2 linked regions of the Kluyveromyces lactis genome follow. The protein of the gene in region 1 purifies or fractionates together with the protein of each later gene. This does not show direct contact. Links are inferred from orthologs where the notes say so. Each region holds a gene or a part of one and is shown on either strand. Other genes may lie near its edges.

Region 1 (3,983 bases):
TGGTATTCATCTCTATCATTTTCATATTTCGATTTCAAGAACTTGTATGCAAGTTGTAAATCCGTGATAGCCGTTTGTAGGTCCTGTTGTTTTGAGATATCGTTAAGTTCCAATTCTGAGGTAGAAAGGGGCGCGTGTTGCAAAGAACTGCTTGAATTCTGTGGGTATGCATCCAACAGGATGTCGATGTTTTTCTTACAAAATGAGATTGGATCATGTACACCCTCCTCGTTGGAAGAATTGTCTATTGATGCCAAATTGATACCTTTAGAAATGGAGCTAGAGATCAGGTAGGAGGTGATCTGTTCCACTTTCCCCTCATCCTCATCAGTGCTTTTATTGGCTAAAGATTTATCATTCTCTAGTACCAATTGGACTAATTCTTTCAACGTGTCAACGTCTACCGAGCCAAGCTTTTGTAAGAAAGTAGTTCCCTTAGTACTTAGAGAACCGTTAGCAGATTCATTAATCAAGTACAATGCAAATTCCAATTTCAATTGGGAATCCAAATCCATTGGAAGCTCATCCCACTCCGAATTTTGTCTATTGGATATCAGGGAATTCGTACTCGTAGTTTGCAAATATTCATTCAACTGTTCATTGGGGTACTTCCCATGCAATTTCTCTACAAAAGAGGTATTGTACTCGTACCATTGGTCCAGGTTATTACGAAGCATTCTATCAAGGGGCTAGCTGCGATCAGTATCTAGCTTGGTTTGGTAGCAACTTACATTTTAACATTCCGTTCATCTATCCAGACGCGTTGATTCCGATCAATGCCTTTCTCAATTACCACGCACGGGACATACATGCAGTTTCCGGGTAATACAAGCACATTATCAACCACGTGATATTTGACATCACCACGCACGAATACCGCCATTCCGATGTCTGGGTGTCATCTTCCGAAGGCTTACATAAGCACACCTCATTACCCGCATGTCACGTTAAATTATCGTTTTTGTGGCCGAAACACAAAAAAGGAAGCAAACTGATAAAAAGAAACGTGAAAAAAGAGTACAGGCAAAAAAAAAGAAACAATGGAAGGAGAAGAAGAAGAAGAAGCAAGATTCTGAACAATTCCCATATACAACACAGGCAAGCATTCCACACTACGCTATATACTGTAGACATACCGGAAAGCGCAGACCGACAAGTTGACTTTTCAGGCTAACCGAAAAATGTAATTGTTGTTACCTCTTTTGATACTTGATACTTTTATTTCTCTTGATACTTGCATTTTGTCTATCTCATCGAATTTTGGAAAATAAGAAAGTAAAGAAGCTTTTAAGCCTATATTGTTAATGATGACTATTCAGTTTACCTTTGTTAGATTAGTTTAAGGTAGGTTTTTGTTGGATTTGATCCAAACTCATCACTATAGAATAATATCGTCAGTTCTTGAACAGGGAATCACTTTTTTTTATCTTTTATACTTCCAGTTGGTTTTAACTTTAACGTCGTCTGAGCATCTGTCAATGATGAAACTCGATGAGATTATAGAGACTCTAAGGCAGGGGAAACATGTTGACGAGGATTCGATATACTCGCTGTGTGTCATGGCTCAAGAACTTCTTATGAATGAGTCTAACGTGACACATGTGGATACGCCAGTCACAATTTGTGGAGATATTCATGGCCAATTGCATGATTTGTTGACTCTCTTTGCTAAGAGTGGAGGCATTGAAAAGAATAGATACATCTTTTTGGGAGATTTCGTGGATAGAGGGTTCTATTCGTTAGAGAGTTTCCTTCTTTTGGTATGTTATAAATTAAGGTATCCAGATAGAATTGTGTTGATACGAGGAAATCATGAAACAAGACAGATTACGAAGGTTTATGGGTTTTACGACGAAGTGGTAAGGAAATATGGTAACAGTAACGTATGGAGATACTGTTGCGAAGTATTCGACTATTTGCCCTTGGGTGCCATTGTAAACAACAAGGTTTTCTGTGTTCATGGTGGATTATCGCCGGACGTTTTATCAATCAACGAAATACGAACCATCGATAGGAAAAAGGAGGTACCGCATGAAGGTGCTATGTGTGATTTATTGTGGTCGGATCCAGAGGATGTGGATACTTGGTCTCTTTCCCCGCGTGGTGCAGGTTTCCTATTTGGCCAAAACGAAGTAGATAAATTTTTACACACAAATAGTGTCGAATTAATCGCTAGAGCTCATCAATTGGTCATGGAAGGTTATAAAGAGATGTTCGATGGGGGATTAGTCACGGTATGGTCAGCACCAAACTACTGTTATCGTTGTGGGAATGTGGCTGCTGTGCTGCGCATCGATGACGATATGACGAAGGATTACACCATTTTTGAAGCTGTTCAGGCGAGGGATAGTGGAGGTAATGTCATTCTCCCTACGAAAAAACCTCAAATGGACTACTTCTTGTAACTTATTACCATTATTATTTGCATTTTTCTCTCTCTCTTCTCGATTTGCTGACCGATTCCCGTGTTATTGGTTCAGTCTTCTTTTCTTTCAGCATTATTTAACAGCATGGTATATCACCCTGATCCTCATTATCAACCGACCATCCTCCCAGCATAGCTCAACCTACAGTTGTTGCTTTGTATTAATATTACCTCTCTTCTTAATCTCATTCAACACAGTGATATACCACATTTCAATAAAAGTATCCCAATAGGTATGTAACAGTAAACTATTTCAATAATTGTACGATTGAATTATATGATTCATTTGATAGCATACATATTATACTGTAATATGGAATTTCTGGTTGTATTCCATTCGAGCAGAACATTTATGACGATACTTTTACCTTCCCTTCAATTTTGGATTTAACGGTAATATTTTGATATTTGATCTTCAATTAAGTATCTCAACCTTAAACGGAGTCTTACAAAAAGTCAAATAGACGTTTAGATGCAAGGGAACAGCTGACCGGGCAATATTCATACACCATGTGGAGATATAATCTAGCACTTACCAGACGAATTTTCAGTTCGCAGCCTGCTGCTCTAGTACGTCAGTATTCTGCTTTCAGAAGGCTTCCTAGAGTGGCAACTCCGGTAAAGGATGTTTCTCGTTTGGGCTTCAATGGCGTGCCAAATATGAACAATGTGACCATCCAGCAGTATGATCCCATTGCAACTACCATTTTAAATGAACCTACCATCATTATTGAGAGACAAATCGAAATGATGAACGTTGTGCTTGGTTTTGAACAGGCTAATAAGTATGCCATCATGGATGTCATGGGGAACAGAATTGGGTACATGCAAGAAAGAGATTTCGGATTCTTTAAAGCTATAACAAGACAAATATACAGACTACATCGTCCGTTCACCGTTGATGTCTTTGACAATTACGGCAACGTTTTAATGACTATTGAAAGACCCTTTTCCTTTATCAATTCACATATTAAGGCTATATTACCCGATGAAAACAGAACCCTTGTTGGTGAATCAGTGCAAAATTGGCATCTGTGGCGTCGTAGATATGAATTGTTTCAAAGAGAATGCGAAAACCCTTCTGAGTTTACTCAGTTTGGTAATATCGATGCACCATTTCTAAGTTTCGAATTCCCAGTTATGGACGAGAACAACAAGATTATTGCTGGTTGTGATAGAAATTGGGTGGGGATAGGAAGAGAACTATTCACTGATACTGGTGTCTATATTGTACGATTCGATTCTCAGCAATCATTTGATGGTGTATACCCGCAAGAGATGTTAAGTGATAAGGTCTTGAACTACGATCAAAGAGCTGTCATGCTTTCTAATGCAGTGTCGATTGATTTCGATTATTTCTCAAGACATTCACGCTACGGAGGTGGACTGTTGTCGTTTGGAACATATGACGAATGAAGGAACTGGATATATCCTCGATTGCTACATGCCAATGAGCATCTGCCGGATGGAATTATTTTTTTGTATATCTTCATTTATTCCTTGTATATATACAAAGTATTAACCTGAAATATTTTGAATAAGTTACCAACAGTGTTGG
Region 2 (16,795 bases), on another chromosome or scaffold:
GTGTGAGCCGTCATGTCACGATAAATAGAGCTGCACCATTAGTGACGCAGGTGAGGTACGACCCTGTAGCTAAACGTCATGTTTTGTTCAAAGAGGCCAAGAAAAGAAAGGTTGCAGAGAGGAAACCATTGGACTTCTTACGTACCGCAAGACGTTAATGAATTGTATTTAACAATTTAACCACACCATTTGCATGTATATAGAAAACACTCACACTGCAATAACTACCGTTGAAATAGACGTGATTTAAGAGTTCTATAGTAGTATCGGTTTGTAGTAAAGAAACGAAATTTTTAACTAAATTACATTTACTTAATTCACTTATTTAATTGGTTTCTGAGACTAATTTGGGCAAGACTATATATACAACATCCACATCGCGTGGAGTAATTTGGAGATAATAAGATGAACAATTGATAGGTTTGTAAATTATCGTGAGGCAATAACTTGTATGATTATTTCTAATTATTTCCACCCCACGTACTTCCACCACCTCTAGCATCCTGATTACCCCAAGCAGATCTATTGCCGCTATTGTTGTGTTGGGATGCATTGCCCCATGCGGATCTCTCTCCTGAGTTATGCTGCGATTGATTGTTACCCCAAGTGGAACTTCCACCGGTGTTTTTAGATCGTTGTGATTTATTACCACTGCCACCCCAGGCAGAGACACCTCCCTGGTTACCACCCCAGGTAGAAGTACCTCCATAGCTTGATTTATTGCCACCGCCCCAGGCAGAAGCTGCTCCTGATTCTCCGCTTGCTGCCCAAGAAGAGGCGCCTCCATAACTAGATTTATTACCCCAAGTGGACGCACCACCCCAAGTTGATGTAGCACCTTGCCCACCCCAGGTGGAAGTGTTTCCAGCAGCTCCACCCCAGGCAGAAGCACCACCAGGGCCTTGTCCGCCCCATGTCGAAGCACCACCCCAGGATGAAGTTCCTCCGTTCTGGCCAACCGCAGGAGTTTTACCGCCATCAAATGCATTCCAACCAGGAGTCATTCCACCAGGAAGTTGTTGCGGAGTGTTCGTTGCCACCGCACCACCGGCAGCCATGTGTCTTGGTGCACTGACATAGCTTGGGCCCAATCTGGTATGTGGAGTTCTACCACGTCTACTAACAAGTTCATCGTATGTTATACCTTCACCACCTTCATGACTGAAGTAAGTAAGTTTTCTTTTGTCTATTGTAATATGCTTATTTTTGGAGTGCAATTCAATAGTAGCCTTATCTCCATTGACGTCTTTGACAATACCCAACTGCCCCTTGTATCCCGCAGAACGTATCCTAACAGTTTTGTTCAAAGCGACGTCACGGCCAACTAACCGCGTCTGCTGAGTAGTTTGTGGTGGTCCCATCTTAGACGCAATATTTGGATTTATTTTAGATAAATCCAATGCTGACGACATCAAGTTTTCTTTTGAGGCGACAGCCTCGACATTCATTGGATTAACAACGAAAACACCGGCATTTTCCGTTATTGTTTTCGATCTAATGAAAATATGTTGGTTTTGAACGTAGAGTACTTGTCCCTCTCTACGGGAACCGATCTTTTCTCTTACTACATCGCCAATTTTTATTTCTCTACCATTACCATCGACAGCAGCTACTTTCGCTCTTGCTACATTGATCTTGGCAAGAATTGAGCCTTTAGTAACAGTAGCCACTTTACCGGAGTCGTCAATAATCTTGAAAATATCATGTCCAGCCTGGATCACACATGCCACGTTTTTGGCACTTAACTCAACAATGTCATGTAGAGCGTACTCGCTTGATGTCGGAGTAGAATCCATAGATTTACTCAAGTTATTCGCAGAGATTGTCAAATTTTCTCTAGTTTGGTCAGAAACAAATGTGACTTGACCGTTCTGCACCAAAAGAACCAAACCAGCGTTACCTTCATGTTCACCAGCTATTACTGTGACATGGTCACCAAGTTCGAAAATTTTTCTTAGAGATGCAATTGGGAACTCTAATGATTTATCTGAAAAGCCCGATAGTTTAACGCTGATGACGTCTTTAGAACTTCTAGTCACCACACCTCTAGATCCACGTTGTTCCCCGGTCAACACTTCAACACGGTCACCTGGTTGAAACATAGCTTTAGAAGCTTGAGCTTTTTTCATAGTTTGAGCAATAGCTGCTAGATCGACATCACCTTCTTTACTGCCGAACCTTGATAATTCTTCCACCGTAGGTTGGATATTCTTTGTATCAAGATACTGAATCTTAAAAGATTTGAAAAGATAACCGTCAACATAATCTTCCTTCCTGTAAGTGAAGTGCCTGTCATCTCTTTTGAATAAGTTGGCTTGGTCTAACCTTAATGCCATAGTAGGGTTAAATAATTGAGGAGGAGGCCTACTAGCAAACGTTGCTCTCTTTGCCTTTCTCTGATTTGTATCTGGGTCGATTTCGTCATTTTTACCGTAGTCTAATCTGGGTACAATCTTTAATAGAGCTTCTAAGTTGTTCTGACTAATTTGATCAATGACTGCCAAATCATTCTTATAAATACCCCTTTTAATTCTAACATAAGAACCAACATCAAGTCTCACTTCATCTGACTTGGTAGGCTTTAATAGTAAAGGTAGTTCTTGCACGGGAATCAAAAGCTTTTGATTAGAATAGACATCTGGAACACCGTTGACAAATTTTTCGATAACAGATTGTTTTGGAGCTTCGATATAGATTCTTCCTGTGTAATTGTCTCTTTGGAAGATGGACAGAATCTTTAATTTTTTAGAGCCCATAGATTTATCCAAGTTAAACTTCTTATTTAGCAACTTTCTCACTAGTTCTTTCTCCTTCCCTGGTCTACAACGAACGGACCAAATAATAGCAGTATCAACACTTGGTAACATAAACCTCTGAGGTACATACCCACCTTGAGTTTGTACACGGTAATCTTTGGAAGAGTCACGACCATAACGTTTCTTGAAGTCTTCAGCGATCTTGTGCATGTCTTCATCCGCAGTTTTTTGAAGATTTTGATCTAATTCTCTATGCAGTCTGTCATCAACTCTACCACCACGATCCTCTTCGTCTTCTTCGTCACCGCGAGTAATGAAACCTTCACGAACTAGTTCTGAATCTTCTTCATCTTCTTCGTCGTCTTCGTCTTCACTGACTTCGGCTTCAATATCCAAGAATCTGTTTCTTTCACGACGTTGCTTCTTCCTATATGATTCGACATCTTCATCTTCGTCATCGTCATCGTCATTGTCATCGTCGTCATTGTCATCTTCATCATCTTCATCGTCTTTGTTTTCTTGACTGTTTTCTTGATTGTTCCCTTGATTTCCCCTAATTGGACTATCTTCAGTAGCCTCTGTCTTTGGTTTAGAATCAGTAGGAGCGTCCTTTAACTGATCGACAGATGCAGAGTTGTTTTCAGAACTCCCATCAACTTCATCGATAGTTCTTTTCTTGCCTCCAACCACATCTGTAGAATCAGACGAAGATGAAGTAGAGTTATGCTCCTTATCTTGACTCTCAACTGACCCAGAAACTGTTTCAGGTACAGAAACAGCCTCTGCTTTATCGGATTCCTCAGCAGTACCGCTCATGACGTCTTACTGACTGTTGCTTTGTATCGTGAATGCGAACTGTAATGCATACTGATCATCATTACAACTTAGCGTGGACTACCATTTTTGTATTGAAAATTGGGAAGTTTAGATTGAAATTTTTCAAGGATCACAAATAGAGGGTAACTCTCGCCTAAGTATTTCAAAAGTACTTAAGTAGCCGATGAATCAGTCTGCATCACTTCATAACGAACGGGCAGCTAGTACCTTATGTAGTCTTTAATATATAACATCAGCTCTGGCTACGTTAAGGACAATATTAACCGATGAGTCATTGCTGACCAGATAATGTAGTTATGCGGAAAAAGAATGATGTCAGTTATGACACAATTACCAGATGGAATGAGGCCAGAATGCCCACCGAGATTGAAGATGAAGTCCTATCGATATATTTAAGCTTCACCGAAGAAGGTGAATTCAAGTGGGCTGATATTTCTAGTTTTTATACGGAATTACAAATCAGTAAATCATGGTACGGATTATTAGAATTCAAGGACTTATGCTTGGATGGAATTGACGTCATAGATTTCGAAAAACTCTTGGATGTCACTTATCGACTCTTGATCTTCATGGACAACGAGAGTATAATAGATAAACAATGGGAACTACTATTAAAATATACCGGTAGATTGCAACAGTTCCCTAAGGTTGCACTAAGGAAGCACGTGATAAGTGTTAAAGATGTCCAGAAGGCTGCTGTTCAAGTGGATATGGATCAACATATTATCCTGTCAATGGTAAGTTGGGCTACGAACGGCGAGAGGGTATTTGTCACTTACCTAGACTTTGCCAAATTACTTGGTAAAATGGGTTTATTAAGATACTAGCATCATTGCAATCCACTAAATAATTCACTTCCTAAAAAACACGTCAATCTTTGGAACATTTGGAAGAATATCACTAGTAACTTAGTACAAAACTTATAAATGTAACTGGTGGCCATATCAACATAGAATTCTAGCAAAAACAAAGACCTACCCGTCTAGGCATAATATAATCCCTTTCCCCCTCTACTCGTCCGATTTAGAAATTATGCCATTTTCCATATATAGATACTGTACACGTATAAAAGGCTCACCATATGATGTATGTTTCTTCAATTCAATATTTGAAGATCGTATTGAGATTCAAGGCATTGAAACTATTCGAACATTCTAAATAATGTGCTTAGCTCTAAAGAAGTTCTTCATGTAGTTTACTTGCCATGCACCCAAAGCGACCAAAACAACGATGACAGCGATAGAAAAGTTTCTAACTCTTCTGTTGGTGGACTCGTTGGTGTCTCTTAGTCTTTCTTCTCTCCCCTTCAAGTAGTTGAATTCATCAACAATTTCGTCAGTCAATTCTTCAATCCTACGTAGTTCAACTTCCACCGGTTTCAATTTTTCACTGGCTTGAATCTTGTTCCAATCACGAGCCTCGGATCCGGATTCAATATCCAATTCAATGGAACGGCTCAAAGATCTACCGTTAACTTGCGCCACATTCTCGAAACAAACATCAAATGAGGTGGATTGTGGAGCAGTAAATACAACACGTACTTCTCCAGCAATGTCTCTATTCCTACGGTATTCGTTACCGTTACTGTCACGAACGTATAGATTCAACTGTTGACCATCACCAACAGAACCATCAGTCTCAATATCAATGAGCACTAATTGACCCTCACTGACAAAATCACGAATACAGACTTGTTCCGGTTTCGTAGAGGCTGGAATGTCGAAACGTACAGCAAATACTTGTTCAAAGAACAAAGCACATAGTAGAAGCACGCAAGCAGCAAAGCTCTTCATCTTTTGGCCTGTATATATATGGTTTGTCTCTTTGCTTCACTCCTTGACAAGTGTTAACACGGATGAGGTTCCTGATAGAATCAATTAGGAAACAAACGTAGCAACGTATCTTTTTGAATTCAGTTAGAATTAGATATACGTTTTTTTTTTTTTTAAATTTCAAACCGAAACCTATATATTTTATTATATTCTTCGCGATCTGAACTGTCGTGAAAATCAACCATGCAATAAAGGTGTTAAAATTCGAAGTTTTGATCTTTGGAAACCAAACAAATATAGAACCAACCATACGTAAAAGACGCGTTTTTTATGATGATTACACGTGATCGATATTGGCAGATGTTAAGTTTTATCAAGGAACAAGGGATATAACTCTGCCGTGTGCAAGTACGTCTAGGCACTGCGACGCACAATTAGTAATTGGGTATTGTGAGTTATAAATACATATATATATATATAATGTGGTTGTATTATGTACAAGAAAGAGCTTCCCGTTACACGGTTTGAACTAAGGCATCAAAATTTGGGATTTCCGGACCAACTATGGAGGCAATGGATTTATCTTGCTTGAGGTATTCCTCTGCCACTTGATGTATATCATTCAAGTTGACGTCTAAAAGTTGCTCTCTACGACGTTGTTTCATTTCGTCTGTTACGTCGTAATGGAATAAAATGGTACCTTCGTTTTTGGCGCTCATTGGGGAGTCTACTTGTTGGAAGACACTCAATTTCGCTTCATTCAAGTCTGGTTCACCCCACGAAGACTTGTTCAATATGAATTCTGGAACGCTATCGAATGTGGACAAAGAATTTAAAGCGTGAGGATCCCTGTAAGAATAGAAACTGAAAGTACCATCCAAAGCGCTGTAAGTAGCACCACCACCATATGCGCCACCTTTTTCACGAATTTCACGGTGCAAATATTTGTGTGTCAACATGTTAGAAAGGATTTGTAGCTTAGCGCCATCAGGATGGGTATAGGAAACGCCTGGGTAACACTTGGCGGTGTAATGAACCTGAAATGGGAACTGGAGTAGGGTTGGTTTACCTGGGTTTTCCAACATTGAGTAATTCTCAGAGTAGAAGTCACATGGTTTTGAATCCTTGGGTAAGGAGCTCAAAAAGCCCGTGATTTGTTGGTGAACTGCATCGATTTGAACTTGAGAATCACTGGTGATCATGAATTTCATGTCTGAACTGCCATTTATATATGATTGAAGCTCAACCAATTTTGAAACCACTTCTTTCTCAAATAGTGCTTCATCATCCAAACATTGAGATAACTTATTGATTAACTGTAACTGTTCGATACCGTTTAAACTTTCGTTGATGGCTTTAGTTACACTTAAATGAGCAGCACCGAAGTTCCGGGCAAAAGCATGACCAGTCTCAGCCACAGACGCTGTGTTTGAAGATGCTAATGATCTTATTAAGACCTTTAGCTTTTCTTTGTGCTTATGGAAATCAGTTTCACATAAAAGTTTCTTCCAAAACTTGAAGATGTGATCGGTTTTGCTGTTCAAAGCCCATCCATCAACTTGGAATAGCAGCATAGGCTTACCAGTCTGTGCATCTGGATTTACAGATACGCGAGTTGAGACACCGCCAGTGTGCAATTTGATTTGTTCTTCAATGGTGGAAAACTCTTCAGTTGAAGTACCAAGGTTCGTCAATGAGTCTGCGTATAATGGTAGGAAAGGATAAAGTTCTCTTGGAATATGGTGGTTTAGTAAACGCTTACCTCTGACGTATGTAATACCATTGGTATCGGTAATACGATTTAAAACATTATCCTTCTCTAACAATGGGTATGTCTTTGAAACTCTTGGAATTGCACTAATTTGCAATGAAGGAAGGCAACTCAAATCCTCTTTGAGGTCCTGTAGTTCTTGCAATTGTTTACCACGTTCGAAAATGACCTTTTTGTCTTCTTCGTCAAGGAGCTTTAACTTTCTCTCCAAACGTTCTTGTTCCTCAGCATCAAGTTTCTGAGAGAACGTTTCTGAGCCCTTCATGGTGAATTTGAATACAGGTTTTGAAATCACGAATTCTTTGATTAAGTCTTTGAATAAATTATCACCCTTAGTGGCCCAATCTTCTTGGAATCTTTCTAGTGTCTCATCGAACAATAAAGAATCAAATGGATCAGTCTTGTTAACCCATCCTGGTAAAACCGAGTACAGTAATTGTAAACCGAAATCTGCCCTTTGGTCTTTCTTAGATAACTCTAATTGTTGAATGATTGCTTGGATCCTAGACTCCTCAAACGGATTCTGTAATACTTCTTCCCATACTTTGTTAATAACTTCATATATCGAATCCACTTCATCACATCCTTGAACACCAATAGTGATAAAGTTTGCAGCAGTCTGCGACTCTACACCAGTGTTAACTGAAAAGTCGTACGCCAGCCCACTTTCAATTAGTTTTTGATAGAAAGGAGAGGAATGTCCGTCTAATAATAAATTACCCAAGATCTTCAATAGAAATGTTTGGTACGTGTCTTCAGGTTTACCACAAATCCAAGTCACAGAGGTCTTGATCTGTTTATCCGGTGGTAACATAGGATCAACCTGTCCTTCGGTTTCTACAGAAACATCTTCTTTCATTTGGATTGGTAATAGTTCCCTCTTCTTAGAACCCCTTCTACCATAACCTTGATATTCTTTATTCAACCTCTGTAAGGTATTGTTCAAATCGAAGTTCCCGTATGTAAACGTCTTAGCATTAGAAGGATGGTAATTATTTCTGTGGAAACTGATTAAATCTTCATATTGAAGATCAGTCATTTTAGTTGGGTCACCACCAGAGTTATTCAAGGATGGATAATAGCTTTCTTGAAACTTAATCCAGAAATAATAGTTAGCATTGGATACTTGACCCTTCATTTCATTGTATACAACACCTTTGAAACCTATATCGCTGTTTGGATCATCAACCTTAGTGTGTTCAAGCCTCCAACCTTCTTGTAGGAAATCTTGCTGATTCAACAATGGATTTAGAGTTGCATCAAGGTAAACGTCTCTTAGATTAGCAAAATCCGTCTCATTAGTGGTAGCAAACGGGTAAAAAGTATAGTCATGACCAGTCATAGCGTTCATGAAGTTTGCCAACGATCTGTTTAACATCTTGAAGAACGGATCGCGAACAGGATACTTATGAGAACCGCAAAGAGTTGTGTGTTCCAAAATATGTGGCACACCAGTTGAATCCGGGGGATTGGTTTTGAATCCGATACTGAACACGTTGTTGTTATCATCTCTATCAATATGTAAATGTTGTGAACCGGTTTGGTTATGCAATAAATCCACGGCTGTTAGCTTTAGTTCAGGGACAGGAAGTAATCGTTTCACTTCATATCCGTGAAAAACGCCACCTACTGGGTACTTCCTCAGCGCCCGAGACTGTGCATATTTTGTGGCATAGTTACGAATTTGAAACATGGTATTTTATAATGCAAGAATTCTCCACCTGGATTTAGATTCAATATTCCTTCGCTTATATTTCAAACCCAGTTTTTTCGATCTTGGTATATTAATCAATGATTACTGTCGTCAACGATTCTATAACGATTTATTGCGAATAAATAGATAAAAGAAATGCAAAGAGAAAACGAACGGTCAAAATATCGGAAATATCCCCTCTAAACTGCTAGTTCGCTTGGCTTTTCGTTTCTTGCCTCTGAGATAAATTCGCTAAATTGACTTATCAATATGTTAAGAGACCTTTGGCATGCTCTAGTATCTTTCCTCCAGGATTCCATACTATCGAAGAAAAACAGCTATGAACTACGGTCTCACTTCTGACGAGTTAAAAAAATGAAAAACTGAAGTTCAAGTCACGTGATACATGTGTCACTCTTACCTTTCTGTATAACAATGGTAAATACAAGTAGCAATGAGAGCATTTGATCAATATAGCCTCTCAGATCGTATTTGGTAGGAGTATGACTTGTATGAGGGCTTATATCTGTGCATGCGATACTTATCAGCACTCATTCTAAAAAGACTTGTACCGAGGATTCCAGAGTTTTACCCTACCTACCAAACCTTGTTTGACACTATTCTCTTCTGTCTTTTCTTTTCCCGATGTTCATTTAAAATTTTCACTTTCTCCTATATATAAAGACATATTTAAAACCTGGTTTTTGGAAAAAAAATTCTACTCCATCATCGTTGAGTGGCGTTGCAGTATTGTTTTTGACTAAGATATTAGTGTTTCACTTCTTTTGCTCAAGGTACAACCAAGAACACTTACTCGCGAAATATCAAGATGTCTGACGTTCCTCCTCCTCCAGCTGTCGAAGAAGAAACCTATGAAAAGCCATATGAAAAGCCATATGAAAAGCCATATGAAACTGCTCCACCACCTCAAAGTTATGAAAATTTCAATAATAGAGTTGATGACGATGAAGAGCTTTCTGATACCAGACTATTTGTGAAGCCTTTCCCTCCAGATGTCACTGATGCTGAAATGAAGGAAATTTTCGAACCTTTCGGTGCTTTGAAGGAAATAAAGATTTTAAATGGGTTCGCTTTTGTTGAGTTTGAAGAAGCTGAGTCTGCTTCCCAAGCTATTCAAAACGTTGCCGGTAAAATGTTTGCCGACTACCCATTGGAAGTTGTATTTTCCAAGAAGTTAAAGCCAAGATTCAGAGTCATTATCAGAAACTTGCCAGAAGGCTGTGCTTGGCAAGAATTGAAGGATTTGGCCAGAGATAACCAGTTAGAAACTACTTTCTCCAGTGTCAACACCAGAGACTTTGACGGTACTGGTGCTCTTGAATTCCCAACCGAAGAGATCCTGCAGGAAGCCATTGAAAAGTTGAACAACATCGAATTCCGTGGTTCAGTTTTGGCTGTTGAAAAAGATGAAAACCCACCACCAATCAGATCCTCTCGTGGTCGTGGTGGTTTTAGAGGCCGTGGCGGTTTCGGTCGCGGTGGCTTTGGTGGCCGTGGTGGTTTCGGCGGTCGCGGTGGTTTCGGCGGCCGTGGAGGCTTCGGTGGTCCAAGAGGTGGCTTTGGTGGCCGTGGCGGTTTCGGCGGTCGCGGTGGCTTTGGCGGTCCAAGAGGTGGCTTTGGCGGTCGCGGTGGCTTCGGTGGTCCAAGAGGCGGTTTCCGTGGTGGCCGTGGTGGCTACGGTGGTCCAAGAGGCGGTTACGGTGACTTTGGTGGTCGTGGCGGTGGTTACGGTGGCCGTGGCGGTTACGGTAACAGAGACTACGCACCAAGAGAAGACTACCAAAGAGGCAGCGGAGAAGGCTACCAAGCGCGTGAAAGATCTCCAGTTAGAGATTAGAGGATTTCTGGAGTGCACAAATAGCTTTCATCTAAGAATGTTGTGAAATTACTTCAAGCATCAAACCGTGTGTCCCTACCATTATCATCGGAGTTGGTATTAGCTTTCTTTTGTCACTTTTAACAGAATTATTATGCTTACTATCTTAGGGAGTTATAAGCTCTTGTTTTCGCCCGTTGTTTTCATACTTTGTCGTTACACCAAGAAACCTCTGAACTTTACTTGGAATTTGAATTTACTCACAATTGTTGGGAATGAATTGAAGGTATCAACCTTGATGGATTGAGAATAAAAAAAAAAATTAAATATTAGTATAGGAAAAACCTCCCATCATCAGGAAAAAATCTTTTTACTTGTGGATCCGAACAGAACATCAAGGATCGTGAGGAGAAGGAAAAAATGATTATGTTTTTATAGTGGATTATTATTGTATTGTTTTATTATTTATCTTTGCGACTAGAAAAGAGGTCTTCCAGAGTAAGGAAGAAGTAGTGATGATCATGGAAATCAATTTCGCGAGGGAAATTGGTTGTGTTTTGTAACTGTGCTTGAAAATCAACCTTAACTCCAGCTCAGAATTGTTACAAATGGCACATATATGTCAGCGTCAAAGACTGCGCTTTTAAACGAATCAACAACTTATTGTTTCTTGCATCCGATCAGTGGATTTTGTCTTAGTCCATTTTCCAATTTGTGATTCTTAATCTTGCATTGCCGACATTACAGTGCATCAACCACCATTATTTTGTGTCTCTTCAAGAAAATGGTAATGTAGAATTGTCTTGAACTTGTAGGAGGCCTACGAAGGCCTTGACGTTATCCTGATGTGTACGAATTTGATTCTTTACAAACTGGGCGGTTTGTCGGATCAAACTTGTACCCACCTTAAACAAATCTTATTGATAAAACTGTTGTTATGCTCTAACATCGACTCCTAGTCACTTGACTATTTAATTTTATATCGTTATGTTGAATGACCAGCGTCATCACTCTCATCCTCTCCTTCGGAGCTGTCATCATTGTCCAATGATTCTATCAAGAGACTCCCGTTTGGCCATAGTTCTGACCTTGTTTTCAATTGAATGGATGGATCATTTGGAGTTTGTTTTCTAGGGAAAGGCGAAACCAACTCAAAGTCAAAGCTAATATCCTCTAGTTCGGTCTTAGATCTGAGTTCGGAAATACCCTTTTCTAATATTGCTTTTAGTTGATTTTCCGTCTTGGATTCCAATAGTTCTCCAGCAATGTTGGTGCTTTCAATAGCGGTAGCGTATTCAGGGTTTTCGCTGATATTTATCAATATTTCGCTGATTGTATCCAAATTATTTCCTTCAATATATTGGTCAGATGATGTTAAATATAAATGAGCTGCTATGTCGATGTAAACATCGCGTAAAGTGTTACTCCCTGAGAACTTTTTAACAATTCGTTTACCATCAGAGGTTCTGAATTGAATGTTGGAAATTTTTTCTGTTGGCTTGACCTCAGCATTGCTGCCAGATTTTAAAGAGTGTAACAGCATAGTAAATTGATAGAATAGGTCCTTTATTTTCAAGATTTCTTTCTGTTGCGCTTCAGAAATTAGTTTCTGTTTTAAACTTTCTTCTTGCCTTTCACGTTCTAACTGCTTTTCGGTATCTAGTTTTAATGATTCGTGGTATGCTTCATCCTGCATTTCCTTCATTTTTCTCACCATTTCTAGCTCTTGCATTTCCGTTTGGCTCGCTATCAGTTCAGGAGAGTAGCGACGAATTGCGCTTTTGAAAGAATCTTGGAATCGGGCAAGCGATTTAACCTTCAAAGCAGAAAGAACAGACATTTTCCTTGAACCGGAAGTAGAATTCAAACGATTGTGCACGTTAGCCACAAGTAGACATTCTAACGTGTATTTTAATTTTAGTTGTTTTGCCAGTGCCCAACATTCAGGATCTTGGACTGTCCTGATGTATATTTCCAAGTTGTCGCTATGAGTTTTGAAAAGTGCAATAGTTGATGGATGGGATAAAAAGTGCGTTAAGAATGTTTTCGAGCTATGACAAATTTTTTCTTCTTCTCCAGTTATTGGTCCCAAGAATAACAAAAGCATAAACTTGTATTTCGATTCGCATTCATCAAATATTTCATTGTAGCTCTTCATAGAGCATAAAGACAAAAGTTCTTCAGCATTTTCACCACATGTTTCCCTTATATCCGCAAATGTATCTTCAGGTTTTCTGTCCACCTGAGGTTTCTGCGGGATTACCCAATTATATGAAGCCTTTGATTTTGCCATATTCTGACCTAGTGCATACGAGATTAGAATGCCAAGCCATGAAAACATATGCACGCTAAGCCTAACTATTAAATTCGGCAAAAATAAGACGGCAAGTAATACAGAATTGCGCGAGTATACATCAGTAGCATTTGGCTGTCCGTTTAATCCGATGATTTGGAATTTTTCTTTATAATTGTATGGTAATCTGTGAATAAAGGGTAGTTTAGGTACCATTCCAAACGGGTTCTCCAAAATGTTTGGGATTCTCAGTGATATTGGTAATTCTGAACGCGTATCTTCCAGGATCTGGCGCTCATCAGATTGTGATTGTTGGACAGGAATTGTGTTTTGAGCGGGTGTAGGCTGTGGTGCAAAGTCTAGATTTTCTTTCCAATTGTCGTCGAAATATCTACCCAAAGCGTGTTCCAATTGCCAAGAATGATTGCGTAGAAGCTTTATAACATTAGGCAATTCATCAGTGGGGAAAGACGTTATCATTTGAAACTCGTTGAGCTTTTGCTCTTCTGAGTGGGAGAGTTCAAATCGTTGATCATTATGTTCAATTACTGGCATTTTAAGGTTCGTTACAAATCACAGTACGCTCAAGCAGATATACTTTAATTCGGATCTCAATGCCAAAAATACTGGGTTGTCAATTTTATACATTCACAGCTAATATATGCAGTATAGTTAATGTAGCTTATCAGTAAACTCGAATCTATATCCTCCTGCACTTTTCTGGTTAAGTTGGCCTGCCTGTTAAAGTTTCCCGTTTTTTCGTTAAATGTTCATGAGAACGAAACAGAAATTTAGTGCACCGTCAGAATATCGTAAGAAACACTAATAAACCAAACAAAGAAATTGCAATGAGTACTAGCTGTTGTCTATAAAAGTATATTTCGATGTAATATTTATGCTGTTTATATATTATATTAGCAATCGTTAAGGGTTGCCAGGCTTTCTAGCAACTACGTACCAATTATCCTTTTCGTAACCTTGTCCAACTATTATTCCTCCGGCCATTTGGCAATCCTCTTCTAGTTCCCCCTCGCGATATAGATGGTAGTAACGATACTTCGTGTTGGATTTTGTCTCCTTTTCGAGCTTCTTGCGCTCTTCCTCTATTTCCTGCTCTCTTTTTAGCCTGAGAGCTTCCTGTTCTAGTTTCCATTTGTTCAAGAATTCAGATCTTTCATGTTTAGGAACGGTGGATAAATCTGGCTTGGGGACTTGTATTTTGCCCTTTTTACCAGATTTCTCATCAATTTCCGTATCCCTCTTCTGATCTTGTAAAACCCACGGTACTAAAACGTCTTGTTCCATACCCTCTCGATACCCTCTTCTAGAATCACCTTGTTCCAATGCCCAGCAGTAAATCAAAACTTCTCCTCCGGGTCTTACTTTGCTGATGATATGTCTTATGGCTCCAACTCTTCTTTCTCTGGTCGACCAGTGGTGCACCACCGCAATGGATATAGCGAAATCGAAAGTATTATCGCGATGAGGTAGCTTGATCCCGTCTGCAATTAGAACATTGTACTGTGAATTGATATCATGTGCACACGTAATTAACCCCGAGGATCTATCTGAACCTAAAATAAAAACATTCGGGTTCACAGCAAGGTACTTCCCATTTCCACAGCCAACATCAATACCGATAGAACCCATCTCTCTAGACATCAAAAACTCCGATACAATTGGCCATGGCTTATATCTGGTTTGTGAGAAATGCGGAGCAATATCGTTGTACACTTGGTGCACGTATTCTTCTTCCTTCAATTCAGCCATTATATTTGAAAACCCCACAGACTACACTGCGTCTAGCTGTATCTAAGGAGCATATAGAAATACTCTGAAACTGTGATCTTAACTTCATTCTTTTTGCACGTATTGTACCTCATTGATACTGCCATTATCCATTTTTTTCACTTTTTCGTTATATCTGTTGTTCGAATCAGAAAACAGACACTAAGCCATGCAATTTGAAATTAATGTTCGACAAATAAGTCGACATTTCGAAACGATTCAAGAGAAGCTATGCTTCTTAATATCTAACGTCCATTAGTTTTCCTTCAAAGGCGTATATCGGAAAGTGACTAGTGGAATTGCGGCAATAGGTTTCGTCGATAACTTGATTTCATTAGAGCATTCGAAGGTTTCGGCTAAAATACTTCGCTAATTATTCCAAAGGTATTCGTGATCCCAACAGCAAGTCTAAAAGAATACAGTGTTTTTTGAACTTTCCTTACGATGAGTACAGTCACTCTACGTCGTCTTGTAACACTATCCTTTGCGCTTTGCTACGTGTTACTTGGAGTTCCTTTATGGTACAGATTGACTACCATATACAGGGCACCACTACCTGCAGAATACATTGAGAGTTTGCATGCAAACCTCCACGAAGATATCCATTTGACTATCCCTGTATACGTGCAATCGGATATATATAACTTTCCTGATGTATGTGATGCCATTCAAAGACAGGCGGATGAGCTATTACAGAGTGCTGATGAACACCAAAGAAAGGTACAGTGGTCGTTGCAAATACTACCGTTCAAAGAGGGCGAAACAGATCCAAATAACGATCATGTGGTCAAGTTGGTTTTGGATGAGTCCATGGGACTAACGATACCTCAATTGACCAAAGAAACTATTATATTTTTCAATGATGAATCCCTGGTGAACAACGATCTTCCATTTTTCGTCGCTCAGGCCCTAATAGAGCACACGTTTAAGATAGAATGGGAGCATTTCAGTAAATATCATCAGAACTCTGTTAAAAGTGACTCAAAATCCAGGAACATGGCTGTAAATTATGACCCAAACATCCATATCTCGATCTCCCTTTTAACTGGTGATGCGGAACCTATTGCCTGGGATATTGACGCTACTTTAAGGGAATATTTCACTCCAATTAGAGATCTCCTTTCTCCATTGGTGAACTTTACCGTTGACACAGGGATTGAGTATCATAACGACTTGAATTTACATTCTTTATCTAACGCTGAATACGTTTCCTGGAATGATCTTTCTCACACTTTGGATTTGTCTGACCTCTTCTCCGTGAACCATTATCGGGAACAAAATTCCATAAATCTAGCCATTGTCTTTCCTTCAGTTGAAACTGGGTCCTTAGCTTTTATCAACGAGACAGGAAATGGTATTGACTGGAAATCATTCTTAGTACCACAGTGGGGTGTTGTTGTGATAAACAAAGATCCATTACCAACAAATGCTTACATAACAAACGACTACCTTGCTGATGTCATTTCAACTTTTGCCCACGACATCTTCAAATTATTGGGATTGAGTGAGGTAGCTGAAGATATGAACTCACCATTAGTTAGGATAGACTCATTTAAGAGGAAAGTCATTATTGATAACTTGGAGAAAAGTGTCACTACTTTATCCTCTTTAGTTAGTATGACGAATCATTTACAACAAATGTCTATTCCAAGGGAAGTTCTCGAAGACGTCAACAATGCATTAAATCTCAGATTGCAGATCGTGGACCTTTTGAACAACCCCGAACTTGGCAGTGATGAAATCTGGAACGAAGCATTAAGGCTCTCTAATAGACTTGTAAAAATATGTGAGCGTGCATTTTTCCACAAAGAAATGGTTCAACAGACATTCTTCCCACAAGAACACAAGATTGCTGTCTATTTGCCATTACTTGGGCCAATAACTGTTGTTACTTTTACAGCATTTTTCAAGTCCTTAAAGGAAGTCATTACAAAGTCTAAGAAAGAAGATGGAAAAGATGGCAAGGCTGACGATAAGGGACAAAAGGCAGAGTAAAATGAGATCCACCTTCTATGATCTCATTAATATATTTCTTCAATTCAATAGCA

Evidence for each region.
Region 2: the proteins of PPH3 (region 1) and SPT5 purify together in Saccharomyces cerevisiae (affinity purification with mass spectrometry, with the first as the bait; 3 studies listed by BioGRID). This does not show direct contact. The link is inferred for Kluyveromyces lactis from reciprocal best matches to the Saccharomyces cerevisiae genes PPH3 and SPT5.

What each region holds. Positions count from the first base shown.
Region 1 is NC_006041.1:888,579-892,561, reverse strand, and holds PPH3 (phosphoprotein phosphatase PP4 catalytic subunit PPH3), read left to right. Parts: upstream 1-1,478; coding exon 1,479-2,405; downstream 2,406-3,983. Other genes in the region: PEA2 (Pea2p), read right to left, coding at 1-677; AIM25 (Aim25p), read left to right, coding at 2,936-3,841. UniProt on the Saccharomyces cerevisiae protein: Forms the histone H2A phosphatase complex in association with the regulatory subunits PSY2 and PSY4, which dephosphorylates H2AS128ph (gamma-H2A) that has been displaced from sites of DNA lesions in the double-stranded DNA break repair process.
Region 2 is NC_006038.1:67,781-84,575, forward strand, and holds SPT5 (transcription elongation factor SPT5), read right to left. Parts: upstream 3,573-16,795; coding exon 462-3,572; downstream 1-461. Other genes in the region: MRPL39 (mitochondrial 54S ribosomal protein bL33m), read left to right, coding at 1-158; RAD33 (Rad33p), read left to right, coding at 3,890-4,420; ERV25 (Erv25p), read right to left, coding at 4,748-5,386; CYM1 (pitrilysin family metalloprotease), read right to left, coding at 5,881-8,829; mRNA-binding protein NPL3, read left to right, coding at 9,659-10,687; UBX2 (Ubx2p), read right to left, coding at 11,652-13,514; TRM9 (tRNA (carboxymethyluridine(34)-5-O)-methyltransferase), read right to left, coding at 13,884-14,729; GPI-anchor transamidase GPI17, read left to right, coding at 15,192-16,742. UniProt on the Saccharomyces cerevisiae protein: The SPT4-SPT5 complex mediates both activation and inhibition of transcription elongation, and plays a role in pre-mRNA processing.